Tribolium castaneum: one gene and its partners. Each later gene encodes a partner of the first gene's protein in a complex. Links are inferred from orthologs where the notes say so. Each region holds a gene or a part of one and is shown in the gene's direction. Other genes may lie near its edges.

Region 1 (5,451 bases):
GAAAGTTGATAGCGACTTCCGGTATAACCGGAAGTGCCGCCATCTTGAAAATATTTTCATTTAACAGTACTCAACGGATTATGACTAAGTATTAACTTTCAAATAAATATCTTTATTAGAACTTTCAATAGTTCTAATGTGGGATCTAGACGGAACAGCCTGTAGAACTGAGAAATTATAATAAAAGCCTTCAAATTATAAATTTAAATATCACTTAGCACTCAAAGAGGCAAAATCCGAATAATACAAAATTATTGTTTGAAAAAAAATCACAACTATTCCAAAGCTCTGTGAAGTGAAATCAACAAGTACACAAAACTACACATAGTAGTGGTGCCCCAACAATCCATCTTTTGTAAATTTAAGGATCTCTTTAATAAAATATCACAAAAAATTATCACTGACCCAATAATTTTTATGGTAAAAACGGTCTTTATTAGCAGATTCAAGAAGTCAGCTGTAATTTATTTTTCTTCTTTGTTATAATTTTTCCTTTTGATGTGTATATAGGGTGAGTTTGATAAAAATACTACCCCAAAAACTAACCACAAAGAAGTTAGCGGTTGATGTTAATTGCTTTATTCTTTCTCTATGAATGTGAATTTTTTAGATTTTTTTTACAATATCTTATAATTAAAAATAATTAAATAACATATTAAGTCGGTGAAAACATATAGGTAGGTACTATATTTTTTATTATTTATTATTATTATTACTATTTTTTAACAAAGAAATGATGCTCAAAATGTTTGCAAAAAGGACGTAATTAAGTTGTTTAACCGTTATTAATAGAGTTCTAACTTGAGTATTGCAAAGTAATGGCAAGTTAGTAAGAATACTAAGAATTAATCAATTACTAGTTGACTACTAGACTAATTTGTATTAAATTACCTTATACGTTGCAGCTAGAAGTCAAATTAATTGGGAATTCGAATTTAATTACAATTAAATTTAGGCTTTAAATTGTGAGATACACAGCCAGTGACATTGTTTAAGTAATTTTTGCACATAACAACAATAAAGCATAACAAAAAGTAGCAAAGGGTATTTGCAAAATTACCTACACATGTATGGAGAAATAAGTTCTGATGGTAATAATTTTCGTAAAATACTAAAATATTTAAAACTATGCAATGTTTGCCTTTACTTTAAATTTTTGAATTACAGTTAAAAACTATTATTACTTTTTAAAAATGGGAAAAAATCGAAAATGCAATATATTACTACTTTTTTATAGTGGTAGCTGAGAATCTAATCTCTATTATTACTATTATTAGTGCCTGTCTAGTTTAAACATTAATCTATATTTTTCATTTAAATTTCGTAAAGTAGAATGGATTCACAATATTAGAAGTTGAGCAAAAAAATCTTGAATGAATCTTGATCATAATTATGTAAAAAAAAACATATATGTATTTTAACTATTTACGTAAACATTAATCTGCTTTTTAGTAATGTAATATCTATTCCGGTTTTTGTCTCTCAAAGTTAGTTGTTATTAATTTATTATTCATGCACTTCAATAACTTAATAGCTAATGTAATTTGGAGTTCCAGTGACAGATACAGATCTAATAATAATAATTAACAACTTGGTATTTTACATTTTTATAAACGTTATTTAAAAAAAATATTCAGTAAATTGCTTTATTGGCATTTTATTGAGTTGGAATGACAAGTATCTAATCTAGGTACAAAAAAATCAAAAAACATCTCATTGTTTTTTGTTGGTTTAAGATCATTGTTTGATGTATTATGTTTATTTGAATGTTTTTAAGATGTACAACTTATAATAAATAATTGATGCTGATTATATACAAGAGTTATTAATATTATACAAGACGATAAAAAGATTGTTTATGTACAAGTGGAAAAGTTTAGTTTAAGGGTGACGAAGTCACGAGTAAACTTATTCCATAAATTACAACAGCGCATTTGAATTTTCCGGAGTGAGAAATAAAGCACAAATTGAGAGTTTCGGTAAAGGAAAAGAATTCTGTGTTAAACTAAATCCCAGCGACACGTTTCGAGCTAAGAAAGCCAACCAGAAACTCCAAAAATTACAAATGCGCTGTTGCAAAATTCTATTATGAATTGAAATGAGATATAGAAAAAATGCATTTTCAAATAAATTAAATCAAACAAAACAAAGTTTTTCGGATTTTTATAGACGCCAATCCGAAACTTATTCAGAATCCGAAATCAAGTAACTAAAATTAATATTGAACAGAACACGCCACTTTCTAGCCCTCAGTGAAATAACAAAATTTTTAATTCCAAAATATTTAACGACTTGGCCATTATTTTGTAAAATCATACTGTTAGGTAAAAAGTTATTTACTGTCCCGCCAAATTCAATGTGGCCACTTACAAACAATTAAAGAAACACTGTCAGACAATAAATATTTCAAATATTTCAAGAAAAAACAGATAAATGATAAATAACCTACGCCACTGACTTAAAGTCTTAGCATGCAGCGCCACCAGTACTCCACTTCCCCCAACCAACAGATACACCCACGGCCGATAAATCAGAAAACCACTTAGCATACCTAACCTCCACAACTCACAAACATAACCTCAACCGTCAACAAATAAAAGTTTGTCATTTTTAGCAATTAAAATATGGTGTTGTTACATTTACATTAAGTTTAAAATTCGTGTCAAATCCACTTTTGTATTAATTTAAGCCCCAATTATTGAAAAAAAAAAAATGTACAAAGGGGGCCACGAACCCGATTCACCTGCAGAACTCGAATGCCAGTTCATTTTACGTCTACCGGAAGAACCAGCCCGTGTCCTTCGCGAAGCCATCCGAAACAACAGCACCCTCAAAGACAGGGTGGCCATCAAAATAGAAAATGACATGCGACATGGTGAAGTCCGAATCGACCACTGGCTTTTACCAGCTAAAGTTATGGACCTTCCCACTATTATCGAGTCCCTTAAAACTATTGATTCGAAAGGTTTCTACAAAACAGCCGATATTTGCCAAATGCTCATATGTAAGGAAGAGGACGACCAAACGACTACTGATGAAGAGTCCCCACAAAAGTCGAAACGTAAAGACCCCAACAAAGTGGAGAAAAAATATCTGATGCCACACGGGATCACACCACCGACGAAAAACGTAAGGAAGCGACGATTCCGCAAGACTTTGAAGAAGAAATACGTGGAAGCCCCCGAAATAGAGAAGGAAGTCAAAAGATTGTTAAGGATAGACAATGATGCAGTTAGTGTTAAATGGGAGGTTATCAACGAAGACGACGAAAACAAAGTCAACAAAGGCACCGTGGTGAAGAAGGAACCTGCAGAAGCCCCCAATCAGAACGTGGCCGAACATGATATTTTCGGGGGGGCTGTGAGTGACTCAGAGGAGGAGGACGCCCACCTTAACGTATTGGAACTGGACGACAATAGTCAGAACTCGGCCGAAGACAGCCACCTGACTGACTCCAACTCAATGATGATCAATACCGCAAACTCAAAATTGTTGACAGAATTCACCAGTGATATGTTCAACGAAATGCAAAATTCCCCCTCTTTGATGCAAGAAATGGACTATTATCAGCAGTCATCCAGCAATATTTCCTACACAGAGCAGAATTTGAGTAAGAGTAATATTTTGGCGAGGCTTGAAGAGCTGCAGTTGGAGTTGGATAATTTGAAAATGAGGAGGCAACACCAGGAAATGGAAATTGAAAATATTGAGAATTTGGCGCTGAGACAACGCTTTCAGAATATTTTGGATAGGCTTCTGCAGGAGCAAATCGAGAAGGAACAGGAGAAATACGGGTTGGAGGAGCTTCTGAAGCAGCACCCAGAGTAGTATTGGAGTGGTTAAAAAATCGTATTTTGTAATTTTAGGTCCAAAAAGGGGTTATAGTGAAGTGTTTCTTGTAAGCGTATCAATGTTAGATTAATTAAAAAATCTGTTTTATTCGATTTTAATTGTGTAAATTTCTATAGATAATTATTTTTTATGAATAGGGCACAATTTAGAAAATAAACAACTTTATCGGCAAAAACTATACTTATTTTTAGTTTGTATTAGTCTCCATCATCAAGTCTATTTCAGGGACACTCATTATATCCCATTTCAGTTCATAGTAGAATTGCAACAGCGCATTTGATTTTTTGGAGTGAAAATAAAGCACAAATTGAGAATTTCTGTATAAGAAAAAAAATTCTGAGTTAAACCAAATTCCAGCGCCACACTTTGAGCTAAGAAAACCTAGCAGAAGCTCTCAATTTATGCTCCATTTCACTCAAAAAATTGCAAATGCGTTGTTGCAAAATTCTACTACGATCTGAAATGAGATATACATTTTTTTATTGCAAATCATAAAGTAAAATAACACGTTTCCTTATTTACCAGTATATAACAAGAAAATAAGTAAATTATTTAATAAATCATACTAATGCTCATTGCATTTTTAATCTGAGTTCAGCCTCAATTATAAAGACTCGTAAAGAAAAACTATCAATATTTATTTCAAAATTATAAAAAAAAACGGCAATAGTGTATTTAATTTTTTTTGGGTCAAATAGGTGACAAATTAACACTTTTTGGGTTTTCGTGCGATTTTGTTTTAAAATGAACTCTAGTGTTCTAGTGATCAGTTTAGTGCCAACAAAAGCCCCTAATTAAAAGAGAAAACCAAATGTGAAAAGTTGCAGTTGTTTTTATTATGCATAGTCTTTAAACATATATTTATTACTTTTGTTTTTACTTATACTATAATACAAATTATAATTCTTCTATTCACTATCGCTTCTGCTTTTTCATATAATAGTAACCAACACTGTCACTGACTTTTCTACGGACTGTTTATAAAAGAGTGTAGGGTCTCAGGTCGTTCTGGAATTTGAATTTCCCGCTTTTCTATGAAATTTCTGAAAAGTACCAATTTTTATCTACTCAGACAACCAGTAAAGCCAAATTTTTCATATACTAACATTGTTCATTTGTTCTGGAAGAAGAAAACGACAAACTTTTAATACCTACCACGATTCTACATTCATTTATAGACAGACAGATTGTATAAATTATTCAACATTTTTTTTAAAAATCTCTTACTGTGGATTGTGGGTAAGTATTAAAAAAATCAAGATGGCTATTATTATGTTCTGAAAGTGGCTCCTTTATATTGTTTTTGTTAACACTTTCAGAAAAAATCAAAAGCTGATGTATCTTTTATACACGACTCAAATATCTTTTTCGGATAGTATTCAGTAAAAATGAATTATTTCCTTATTACAAATGACAAAGAAAATTATACATTTCTTCGAAAATTTAAAAGTAAAATATTATTTAATTTTTACCGCGAATAAATTGAATTTGAAAGATAGGTGGCTGAAAATGTTTGGTTGGTTACTGTCATTTTTATAATAAACAAAAAAAAACGATCTGAAGATTGTCGCATTTTTTTAAGTTTGCGATTATTTAACT
Region 2 (5,531 bases), on another chromosome or scaffold:
AATAAAGGATTTTCATGACGAAACAACTTAAGACTCATCGGGAGTATGCCAAGCGAGACGTTCCTCATAAAACTGAATAACAATTTGTGGACACTTGACGTTTGCTTCCTTAGCTGGGACTAAATCGGTCTCGTCGGTTCCCTTCCACTTCATCAGAAACATCAGCTGTCCTGTGGTGTCTGATGCTCCTATGATTTTCTCGGCTTGGTAGCCCCGTTCAAAGCCGACTTTTGATTTACTCTTGGATGAACTATCCTTCCCCTTTTCAGATTTCGACTCAGACTTTCGCTTTTTCTTGGATTTTTCGTCGTCATCGCCTTCTGATTTCTTCTTTTTCTTGGACTTATCCTCGTCGTCAGATGAGTCAGACTTGTTTTTACCATTTTCGTCGTCGGAATCTGCGTCTTTTTTTGAATTCTCTTTCTCGTCCGTGGAATCTGAACGACGGCGAGCTTTCTTCGACTTGGGCTCGCCGTCGGAGTCCTCCGTTTCAACCGCATGCTTCTTGGGCCTGCCTTTTGATTTCTTTTCAGACTTCTCTTCACCGTCCTTGGATTTTTTCTCTTTCTAGGGATACACAATTAAATAGATTTCGGGTCGAAGTGGGCTGGTTTTTGCTTGGCTTATCCAATAAACCCACCTTTTTTTTGTCACTATCCTCGTCCGCACTTTTCGTGGTGGAAGACCTCTTCGCCTTGGCTTTGCGCGACTTTTCAAATTCCGCTATGAGATCGGGACAATCGAGATTGTCTTCGGGTTCCCAAGTATTATCGTCTTCGCTATAACCTTTCCACTTGAGAAAATATTCGACCTTTCCGTTTACGACCCGCCGGTCGATAATTTTCTCAACTGAATATTCCTCCTCGCTCTCGCTGTCTTCTACCTTCTTTTTGCCCATTTCTGCAGTTTTGTTTGCGAATAACCGGTAAAGCGATGCTGACTGCGTACTTCTGGAACAATAAGTATTGCTTGCATTCAACTTCGTTACTAAAATGCTGACTAGTTAAGGTAGTGGATAATAATGCGATTGGAGCCGTTATTTACTTACTTTCAACTCTGGCTCTTAAAAAGCCACCACAAAACACCGCCGAAAAGATCCTTTTAATGGCGCTGGAAATATGGCGGGTGGCGGTTAAGAAAAAAATGGTGCCAACACAATTCAACCAATTAAAAATTGTCCAAAAACGACTCTCAGAGTTTTAAAAAATATAGCCAGGAGTTACAACTCTCATACTGCGCTCTCTGAATGAAGAGAAAATCGGATTGTTGCGAAATAAGCCTAGATTTTTTATAAATCGACGTTGAATGGCAGGCTTTAGGGAAATTTTGCGTTATTGATTGTTGTCATTTGCATTAAAGTGTGGTTAGGGAAACGTCAGTTTGTGTTGTATTTATTATTTTACGAGTTTATAAATGAGCGCCGAAGAAATGGAAAAATCTCAACTTGCAGCCGTTCTGCAAATTTTGAAAAAATACAATTTAAAGGTGAGCTTATGGCGAGTAAGCACAACGTAACATTTTTCATTAGGGCACTGAGGAGCTGCTACGAAAGGAGGCCAATCTCGGTAATAACATAGCTGATGGCCCTTTGCAACAAAATTCAGACGTTAGTAGCGTTCTGACGGGGTACAAGAGTGACGGAGATCCAGAAACCTATGAGGACTCTTACATGGAGTTAAAGCGTTTTGTTGAGGGCTCCCTTGACATTTACAAACACGAATTAGGCATGATTTTATACCCAGTTTTGGTCCACATGTACCTCGAATTGGTTTATAATGGACATACGGAGAAAGCGATAAACTTAATGAAAAAATTTGGCCCCGAACAAGACTCGTACTATCAGGAGGATCTCAGGAAGTTGGCTTTGGTCACAAAACGGGACCATATGAACGGGAACGAATTGACAGACACCTTCAAATCAAACCAGTTTATTATTCGAATGTCGCGTGACACTTTGTCACTTTTAAAACGTCACTTAAACGACAAAAAAGCGTCAGTTTTGCTGAACATCATCCAGGAACATCTCTACTTTGATATGTACGAAGGCGTAGCGAGGAACAAAAGCCAGATTGATGCCACGTCAGGTGCCGTTGGGGGAGAGGCAAAACGACAAGGTTCATTTTCGTTATCATAATTACAATAAACACATCAAAATTCCAGATAATAAAACCAAAGTCTATTACGGCATCCCCAAAGCCCCCGACATTCAGGCACTAGCAGCGCCAGTCGAAGACGAGGACGAAGGCGGCGAACAGGACAATCCGGACAAACCTAAGAAGAAAAAAGCCAAAAAAGACCCACTTTTCTCGAAAAAAACAAAAAATGACCCAAACGCTCCACCGCCTGATAGAATTCCAGTCCCGGACATGAGAGACCACGATAAGTACGAAAAAGTGAAGGCGTACAGAGAGGCCTCAAAGAGAGTTACGTTAGGCCCGGATTACCTCCCTTCAGTTTGTTGTTACACCTTACTTAACGCCAATCACACGTTAGTTGAGTTTATTCAGTGAAAATATTTTCTTTATCGGGGGTTTTTTAGGGTTAATTGTGCTGAAATCACCGAAGATTCGAGTATGCTGGCGGTGGGTTTCAGCGATTCAATTGTTAAAGTCTGGACACTTGTGCCTCAAAAACTGAAGGCTATGAAAAGTGGGGAGCAGCTGGAGGATGTCAATGTTGACGTAGAGGATGTCGTGGTAATGTTACATTTTTTTTTAATAATGAAATCGATAAAGTACATGAAAAAATATATAATCAATCAAAATTAAACGATAAGTAAAACTAAATCAGTAATTTCGATTACAATTTTTTGTTCAGAAAAGACTTTTATTATTACTACAAAAGTAATCACTCATTTTTTTAATACAACATTAAATATATTCAAAGTTAAGTTGAGATTTTAGTTTTCGCCCCCATCAAGTCGATAAAGTAGACACCGACTTAAATTAATCGACTACTTGAATAAATAGCGATAAAAATAGGTCGTTGCCGTGTGGAAACCGTCAACATGTTTAAAATCGCAAAATAAATGACTGGAAGGTGTATCATTTTTATTCATTTAAACAGTGTACTTAAAGAAATCTGCCAAGATAGCAACTTATCTGTCATCTTGGCCAGGTTCCAAAAACTTACATGTTTTCAACATGCAGGTGAGAATGATGGATGAAAGGTCCGGTGAGACTTCCAGATCGCTTTACGGCCATTCAGGGCCTGTTTACTCGGTATCATTTTCCCCAGACAAGACTCTCCTTATCAGTTGTTCGGAAGACACAACAATAAGATTATGGTCGTTGCAAATATGGACTTGTCTGGTGGTCTACAAAGGACACATGTTCCCCGTTTGGGACGTCAAATTCTCTCCCTTGGGCTATTACTTCGCTTCGGCGTCGTACGACCGCACTGCGCGACTTTGGGCCACCGACCATTACCAACCGTTGCGATTATTTGCCGGTCATTTCTCCGACGTCGATGTAAAAATTATCAATTTTTTTTTAATATTTTTTTACAGAAATTATTAATTGTAGTGCGTCCAGTTTCACCCAAATTCCAATTACGTTGCGACCGGTTCCAGCGACCGCCGCGTCTGTTTGTGGGATTGTACGACGGGAAATCATGTCCGACTTATGACTGGGCATAAATCGCCCATAATGTCTTTGGCGTTCAGTGTTTGTGGGCGGTTTTTGGCTTCCGCGGGGGTGGATTGTAAAGTGTTGGTTTGGGACTTGTCCCATGGACACTTGGTTGCAGAACTCACCGGGCATGAGAAGCCCATCCATGCACTTGCTTTCAGCAGATGCGGGAATATTCTAGTTTCAGGAGGGTTGGACTGTTTGCTCAAAGTTTGGGATTTTACCAAACTGACTGAGGAAATCAGCTCGGAGGAAGTAAATGTGTCGCATAATCCCGATGTGAGGATCGGGGATGATTATTTATTGAGGAGTTTTGCGACGAAGAGCTCGCCATTGATCAGCCTTCACTTTACGAGGAGGAATTTGCTATTGGCTGTTAGCATGTTTGATGGTGTTAGCACTTAGTTTATTGTAATGTGTATTATTTACCTTGATAAGAAATAAATTTTTTAACGATTTTTTTGGGGTTTGGTTTATGAATCGCTTGAAATAACACTAAAATGTTAAAATAGAATTCCGAGTTGAAAATAAACAGTGTCAACAACATTAAAAATGTTTGCCAGGACTTTTGCCAAAAACATTCATAATTTCTCTATGACGAATCAAACATTTTTATAATTAATATTCACACCGATAAAGTCGGTTATTCAATACTTGAAAAGAAAAAAGTAATGGTCTTGTACGTCGAAGTAATTACTTTGGTTGAACAGACGTATTTTTGGCGTCCAATCAAGAATAATATAAACAAGGATTTATTTTCGAAACAAATTTGTTGTGATAGAAAATTAATATCGTTACAAATTTTTACGCTTTGACTGGTTGTTAAAAAACAAAATAAATGTTAAGGTGCTTGTTTTAACTTTTATTTGAATTAATGTACATGTTTGTAGCTTGTTTTGTTGCGTTTGAAATTAATTTATTTGTGAATAACGTTACCTAAAAATTAGGCAAAGGATATGAAATTATTCATTAAGCCAATGTACAGGGTGAGTCTGCTAAAAGTATTATTTACAAATATACTATTTCAAAAGTATTAATTACTTTTTTTCTATACATGTAATTTTTTCCGAATATTTCTCCCTTTTCGTTATAATTAAAATTAATAAGACACCGTATGTGGAACTACGGCAGGGCCCGAAATGCCCAAAAAATCCAGCTAACCTACCTCAAGCCTAACAAGCGAAATCAAAGTAAACACATATTTTGTAAAAATATCATCGAGCGAACAATGCCAGTGGTGTGGCAGTGAACTTGTTTACGTACCTATTTTTCGAATGAACTATTTGAAAAAGGTACCTCAAAAATTCGCATTACGTGTGCTAAAAATGACTCGAGCATAAGCAAACCCAAAAACAACACTTGAAAATATCTGGAAACTGTTTACGGTTGGGATGATGGAGTAAACCCCACCCCCTATAATACGTCATTAGCTGAAAGCTGTGCAGCGTTCAGCCAGGTCCTGGAAAGCAGAGCATCTTAAGCGACAACGTTAGAAGCATCTGAGTGATATTTGATTCCCGATCGCTGCTGCAACACTAAGTAAGATATTTTTACGCTCTTAATTATAACATCGCAATTAAAAGTTGCTTCCTAAACTAGTTATTAAACTGGAAAAAAAAATAAAATTTCACAATTTGTGTGAAATATGGTGCACTTGAAGCTTTGGCCGGTGGGGCTTTGCATAATTTGCACAAATAAAATCATAAACATGTCCGGCTAAGTTAACATACTGCATACCTGTGTTAAAAATAAGTGTTTTCGGAAAATACGAAATGAATTGAGAGCATTGAATACATCGATTCTGGAAACCATCCAATAAACATGAAATTATTTATGTTACTAATCAATTTTTAAAATAGTTATGACAGGATTAAGGAAAAAATTCCAGGTCTTAAGACGTTA
Region 3 (5,599 bases), about 8.0 Mb from region 1:
AAAATTCAGTATTTCTACATTTTTTATGTTGCCAACTTAATTTTATAATAACAGGCTGCTCTGATCAGGAATTCAACTGAAAGCAAAGTGGTACTTGGCTTTGAAATGAAGTTGGTGGCATTGAATAATGTAAAAGTCTAAAATATCCCTCAAAAAATGTAACTAAAGACATTAGACGCTTTATTCTCAAAAAAAAAAAAAACAGAGACTGAGGACCGGTTTATAAAAGCGTCATTAATTTAATTCGCAATTAAATGAGTGATTAAAACTGATCACGTGACTAAACTGAGCTAATGTGATTGGTCTTTTCGCGTTGTTAAGTATTAACAACGAATTAAAATTTGATGAAGCTTTCTATAAACTGGCCCTGAGTATACTAAAAATATATTTTTACGAAAACTAATAATCGCACAGAATTCAGCATTTGGTATTAAATCCTTTGTATTTTTCTCTAAACCTGTAATTTTTTTCAGATTTTTTCTAGAATTAATTACATTCAAATCGCTACAAAAAATTGCTATTTCTTGTGACAACGTTCAAATGTTGTTTCGTGTTAAAAATCATTAAAAAATTTGAAATACACGTAATTTTGGTGCTAGCAAAAATTTTTGTAAGAGTTTCTTTCTCGAAAACATCATTTCATATTTTTAATTTTATTGATATTAACATCCTTGATTAATTAATTTTAATTAGAAGAAAGGGTAAAATTTTTGAAAAAAAAAAACACAGACATAGAGAAAGAAAAATTTCTCGTAAAAGTAAACGCTTATCAAATATTTAAGCAAAAAAAACACAAAAAAAATAATTGCTGTGAAGCCTAATAAAGAAGTTCAAATTCGGTTAAATCACTAATAGTTTTTTCATATATTTTTTAAATAGAAAAAAGAATTATAATTTTATAATTATAATTTATTAAAAGAGCTTAGTTTCTTAAAATCCTTCAACTTATATAACTCATAAGATGTGTTTTCTTCACTAACGTTGCTTTATTTTAATTTAAATCTGAGGAATTTCCACATATTAATAATAATAACAGAAATATAACTTGAGAAAGTCATAGCTGGAACAACCTGTATATGATTCATGCAAAAAATTATAGACAGTTCTCTCAACAACTGGAAAAACAGTTAATTAACCGACATGCAATGTCCATCACCTGATCGGTAATTTATTTAAAACGGTTCAAAACAAAGAACAATGCAACAACAAAAAACCGACCTCATCCCAAACATTTAAAACGCAACTTATTAAACCAAACATTAATTCATTCTGTGACGGAAATTAATTAAATTTGTTGTGTGGGTGTAAAAAATCAATATCAATTAACTCCGATTTATAATTAGTACAAAATGTCTCGTCCCATCTTATTGTTTTTTTTTTCTTTCACGAAAATTGCATCTGAAACCTTTCACATAAAGCTTTATAGATTTTCCCCTTTTCAGTAGCAATAACACTGACGTTTATTTCTACAGTCCCGACAAACTTTACGATTTTCGTTTTTCTTCTGCAATGTGCACTTAGCTCTCGTGCAATTTTACATCCCCAATTCCCACCGTACGAACTTTATGCACCTGCTGTAAATTTTCATCCCTTTTACACAGCTCCCACCAGTCTGTTTCTTTCATTTTTAATAAGTCTGGCGAGGGGCAATTCCGCTAATGGTAAGACTGTTTGATATACAAAAATCGAAAATAATCAAATATTTTTTTTGCTCTGCATCAACATCTATTATTACTACGTATCGCTACGTAGAAACAATCATCTTATTTACGAAAAGTTATACATAATACAAAAAAAAAATTGTACCTAACTCGCAATTCATGCAGCACTCGCTAGGCTCGTGCCGTAAATCACCAATATCCCACCTAACATTTTGTGCAGTTAATAGTAGTTTATTTGAAGTCTCACAAAAAAGAAATTTCGAAAGATAACTTGTATTATAAAGAAGTTGTGTGCTACAAATATGTCCCCAGGTCAAAGTTTGTAATTTTATTATTTTCTAAATTAATCAATAAATGTTTCATTTAATAACTGTTGTCATAAGCAGGGGTGGCCAAAATTAAGTAATAGATCTAAATAATTTTAAAAAAACTTTAGGTACTTGTGACCCTTGAAGTCCCCACAAATTGTAGCAAATAACTGAGCATTTTTTCAGGGAAATAATCTAAACGTGGAATCGCGACTCACCTTCTTGGTTTAGCGGGGTAATGGTGGTGGTTGAAGTGGGAGCCAGTGCAAGAAAATTGGGGCACAGCAAGCCCCATCCAACGCTCTAAGGCCCCCTGCGTGCAGTCGGCGAGCACCTGCGTGAAAAAATTCAAAATAGCCACAATTTCGTGCCTTTCCAAGCGTTCCCAGCTAACGGTTTCGCACACAATGCTGTGGACGCTTGGGTGATCAAGGGGGCTCCAGGCCCGATTTGACATTTTGACAGTTGTCATCCAGCAAACAAAAGCCACCAACTGGGATACTTACAACGTGATTTTGTTGCCAAATTCGTACGATTATCACACTAGAACATTGTCAAAAGCGGTTAATTGCGAATTAACTGGTCCCGCAATAAAACAACGAAAAAAAAGCGTTTTTGTGTCGTTCACCGCGACGAATCGACCCGACACGTTATCACAATTTTTATCACTGCGAATTGGGCCTCAAACTCGAGAGAAATTCATCGTTTCATTTACTTCGCCTTATTTTACACACAATAAACAAAATTATTGTCAAATATGAGTGTGATATATTGACTGGAATTTGACACTGGCGCCACCTCAGATTTGCACGGAACTACAGAACTACCAGTAGAGGGAGCAGCGATCGCTCATTTTTTCTGTCAAAATTAACACATAACCTTACTTCATTTCCAAAAAAATAAATAGATAATGTGAAAAAAAGACACAATGGACAACATTTTTGCGAAACCTCCAGCCTCCACGAGTCAAATCATCAAAGCTGACCCCAACTACGAGTCCATGGACGAAGACGACGACTCCACTGTGGAGACAGTCAAAGTCGAGGAGACCCAGCTCACGTCTGAAATTCACATCAAAGACGAAGAAAATGTGTACCTGGAGTCGGATATAATAATGCCGGAAGCCCCTCAAAGTAGCAGCGCTCCGGCTAAGAAGAAAGAGGTGAAGACTAGGAAGGAGATGGAGGAGGAAGAGCGCGAGAAAATGCAGTAAGTTGGTGTAAAGTGGGGTTTACTGAGGGTTTGTTGTAAGGGTTCTAGTCTCGAATTTCACCGAGGATCAGCTGGATCGATATGAGATGTACAGGAGGTCGGCGTTTCCCAAAGCTGCAATTAAAAGGCTGATGCAGACGATTACAGGGTGTTCTGTTTCCCAGAATGTGGTCATTGCTATGGCTGGGATTGCCAAGGTCTTTGTTGGAGAGGTTGTGGAGGAAGGTGAGGATAATTCAAAAAAATATTTTTTTTATTTTCTCTATTACACCAAAACTATTCGAAAATGTGGAATTATTTTGGTCTAAGCCTATGTAAAATGATCCGAGGAATCGATGGGCGCCGAGAAAATCTCCAAATTCCCAATAGTTTTTTAGTTATGATTTTTTTAAGTATTAACCAGACAGCTTTCCAATGAAATTACGTCTAATAGTTTAATTTTTTTTATTTTTGTGAAGATAAGTGCCTTGACCACTAAAATTATGGTAAATTTTAGTTGACAATTGAGACCATCAGCTCGAGATTGAAAATACATTCGGAAGCTCAAATAACGTGAAAATACGTATTAACAACTTTTTTCTACAGTTGCCACTGCTTAAAGCACTCTTTAAGCTGTAAATTTATTATTATTTTTTTGATTAATTCAAAAGAAGTCGATACGAAAAAGCTTACACACCTCTTTCCGGCAGTGGTGTCACTCTAAAAAATTAGTAAAACAGTCCAAAGACTTAGAAATGTCAAACTCTTTTTTTGTGTGCAAAAAAAATCAAACATGTAAGTATTTGTGTAATTAATTATTACGCTCGATAAGACTTTCTTTATGGAATAGTGGTCTAACGAACCATTGCACTGTGGACTATGTAAAAAGTAAAAAAAATAACTATGTAAAATTACAAAAAAGTTAATTCCCTATTTTTTTTAAAATGCCCTTTTGGTTTAGCGAAGAACAGGAAAAAAACATCAATTTGAAGAGTTATAAAAAATTGTCTTGGAGCCGTGCTTTGAAATTTTAGGTCGCAGTTAAACAAAAGTTCTAAGATTATAATTTTGAAAAAAATTTTTCTTTTCTGTGCCCTACTGTTACAATAAAAAACCGATAATAAATAATAAATTCAAGACAATTGGTCGCCTCTAACAATATTTTTAAATAGCAAACAGATATGAGTAAGGAAATGGCAGTAAAAAACAATAAATCATAAACTAGAAGATTTTTCTAAAAGCTTTTTTTGTTTTTGCCCATTTGCCTATTAAGTGCCAATTTTTAAGTTTTTTTAATTTTTGAGTTAAAAGTTGCAACGTCGTAAATTAAAAAAACAAACTTAAACAAACAATGTACAATATTTCTAAATGCCCTTCGTTTTCAGATCAATGATGAATCTATTTTTTTTGATAAAGTCTCAATTGACATATTTTTAAATACAGTACTACTAGAAAAATCATTCTTTGTCACTGTACAATCACATTTTTGCTCACTAATACTCATTTACGTAATTAAAAAATAACTAGGAGCATTGCCGATTTTATAACTCAAGTCGGAGGCAAAATCTATACGTTAAAGATATGAAAATGACATAATAATTATTCCCAATTGTTATCTATCTATCCTGTTACTTTTCACGTTTATTCTATTTAAAGTAATGAAGCCTTTTGCGTTACATTCTGTCAGTAAGGTTTCGTTATATCACGGAATTTATTCCGTTTTTTGCAATTTTCTTAAGATTTGAGTATTACTTAAGACTTGTATTAGGTAAATTTAATTAAACTTGCACAAATTCAGATTTTTATTCCTGTTTAATTTGATGCTTAACAATGTAAAATAAATAATAATTTAATTCGGATTAGTTTAATTTTTTATTACCAAAATTTCATTCACTTTCTGCAATGAAGTCTTACGACTTCTTATTAAATAAATGACACCCACTTTTGTTGTAATTAGTGAGTTTTAAACCACTTTGTTATTACTGTTACGAATAACTAACACAAAACTTACAATTGTTTTTTTAACGGATCCAAGACCACTTTTCAATTGTCGTTACGTGACATCAACTCTGAAATGTATTCTAATAACGAAAAAATGCACACAATTGTTTTAATTAATTAGATCATTCATACGTCCGGGGTATCTTATCTTCTTGTAAATATTAATAGTTCTAGTGCTCTAATTGAGTAAAGAAATTAGTAGACATTTTCGAACTTACTCAATGATTTAAGAAAAGTTTGACATCGGTTTTTATGTTTCTTTTTTTGTCTACATATTCCAGATAATTTCATTTAGATACAGTGAAACCTCTAATATTGAATAATTTGAGAGTAAAAATTTTTTAACAGTTTTAACTTTAATTCTAAAAATTCATGTCGCAAAGCATTTTAATATTGTCATTAATAATTGTAAATATTTGTAAAAAAGGCAAACAAAAT

The links.
Region 2: Taf7 (region 1) and Taf5 share a complex: the UniProt entries of both Homo sapiens proteins name them as parts of the TFIID basal transcription factor complex. The link is inferred for Tribolium castaneum from reciprocal best matches to the Homo sapiens genes TAF7 and TAF5.
Region 3: Taf7 (region 1) and Taf11 share a complex: the UniProt entries of both Homo sapiens proteins name them as parts of the TFIID basal transcription factor complex. The link is inferred for Tribolium castaneum from reciprocal best matches to the Homo sapiens genes TAF7 and TAF11.

The regions. Positions count from the first base shown.
Region 1 is NC_087394.1:13,419,567-13,425,017, reverse strand, and holds Taf7 (transcription initiation factor TFIID subunit 7), read left to right. Parts: upstream 1-2,538; 5' UTR 2,539-2,712; coding exon 2,713-3,828; 3' UTR 3,829-4,027; downstream 4,028-5,451. UniProt on the Homo sapiens protein: The TFIID basal transcription factor complex plays a major role in the initiation of RNA polymerase II (Pol II)-dependent transcription.
Region 2 is NC_087398.1:2,407,242-2,412,772, forward strand, and holds Taf5 (cannonball), read left to right. Parts: upstream 1-1,364; 5' UTR 1,365-1,428; coding exon 1,429-1,485; intron 1,486-1,528; coding exon 1,529-2,114; intron 2,115-2,160; coding exon 2,161-2,488; intron 2,489-2,539; coding exon 2,540-2,696; intron 2,697-3,149; coding exon 3,150-3,470; intron 3,471-3,524; coding exon 3,525-4,034; 3' UTR 4,035-4,087; downstream 4,088-5,531. Other genes in the region: heterochromatin protein 1, read right to left, coding at 28-567, 641-898. UniProt on the Homo sapiens protein: The TFIID basal transcription factor complex plays a major role in the initiation of RNA polymerase II (Pol II)-dependent transcription.
Region 3 is NC_087394.1:5,383,494-5,389,092, reverse strand, and holds the start of Taf11 (transcription initiation factor TFIID subunit 11), read left to right. Parts: upstream 1-2,469; 5' UTR 2,470-2,897; coding exon 2,898-3,178; intron 3,179-3,221; coding exon 3,222-3,406; intron 3,407-5,599. UniProt on the Homo sapiens protein: The TFIID basal transcription factor complex plays a major role in the initiation of RNA polymerase II (Pol II)-dependent transcription.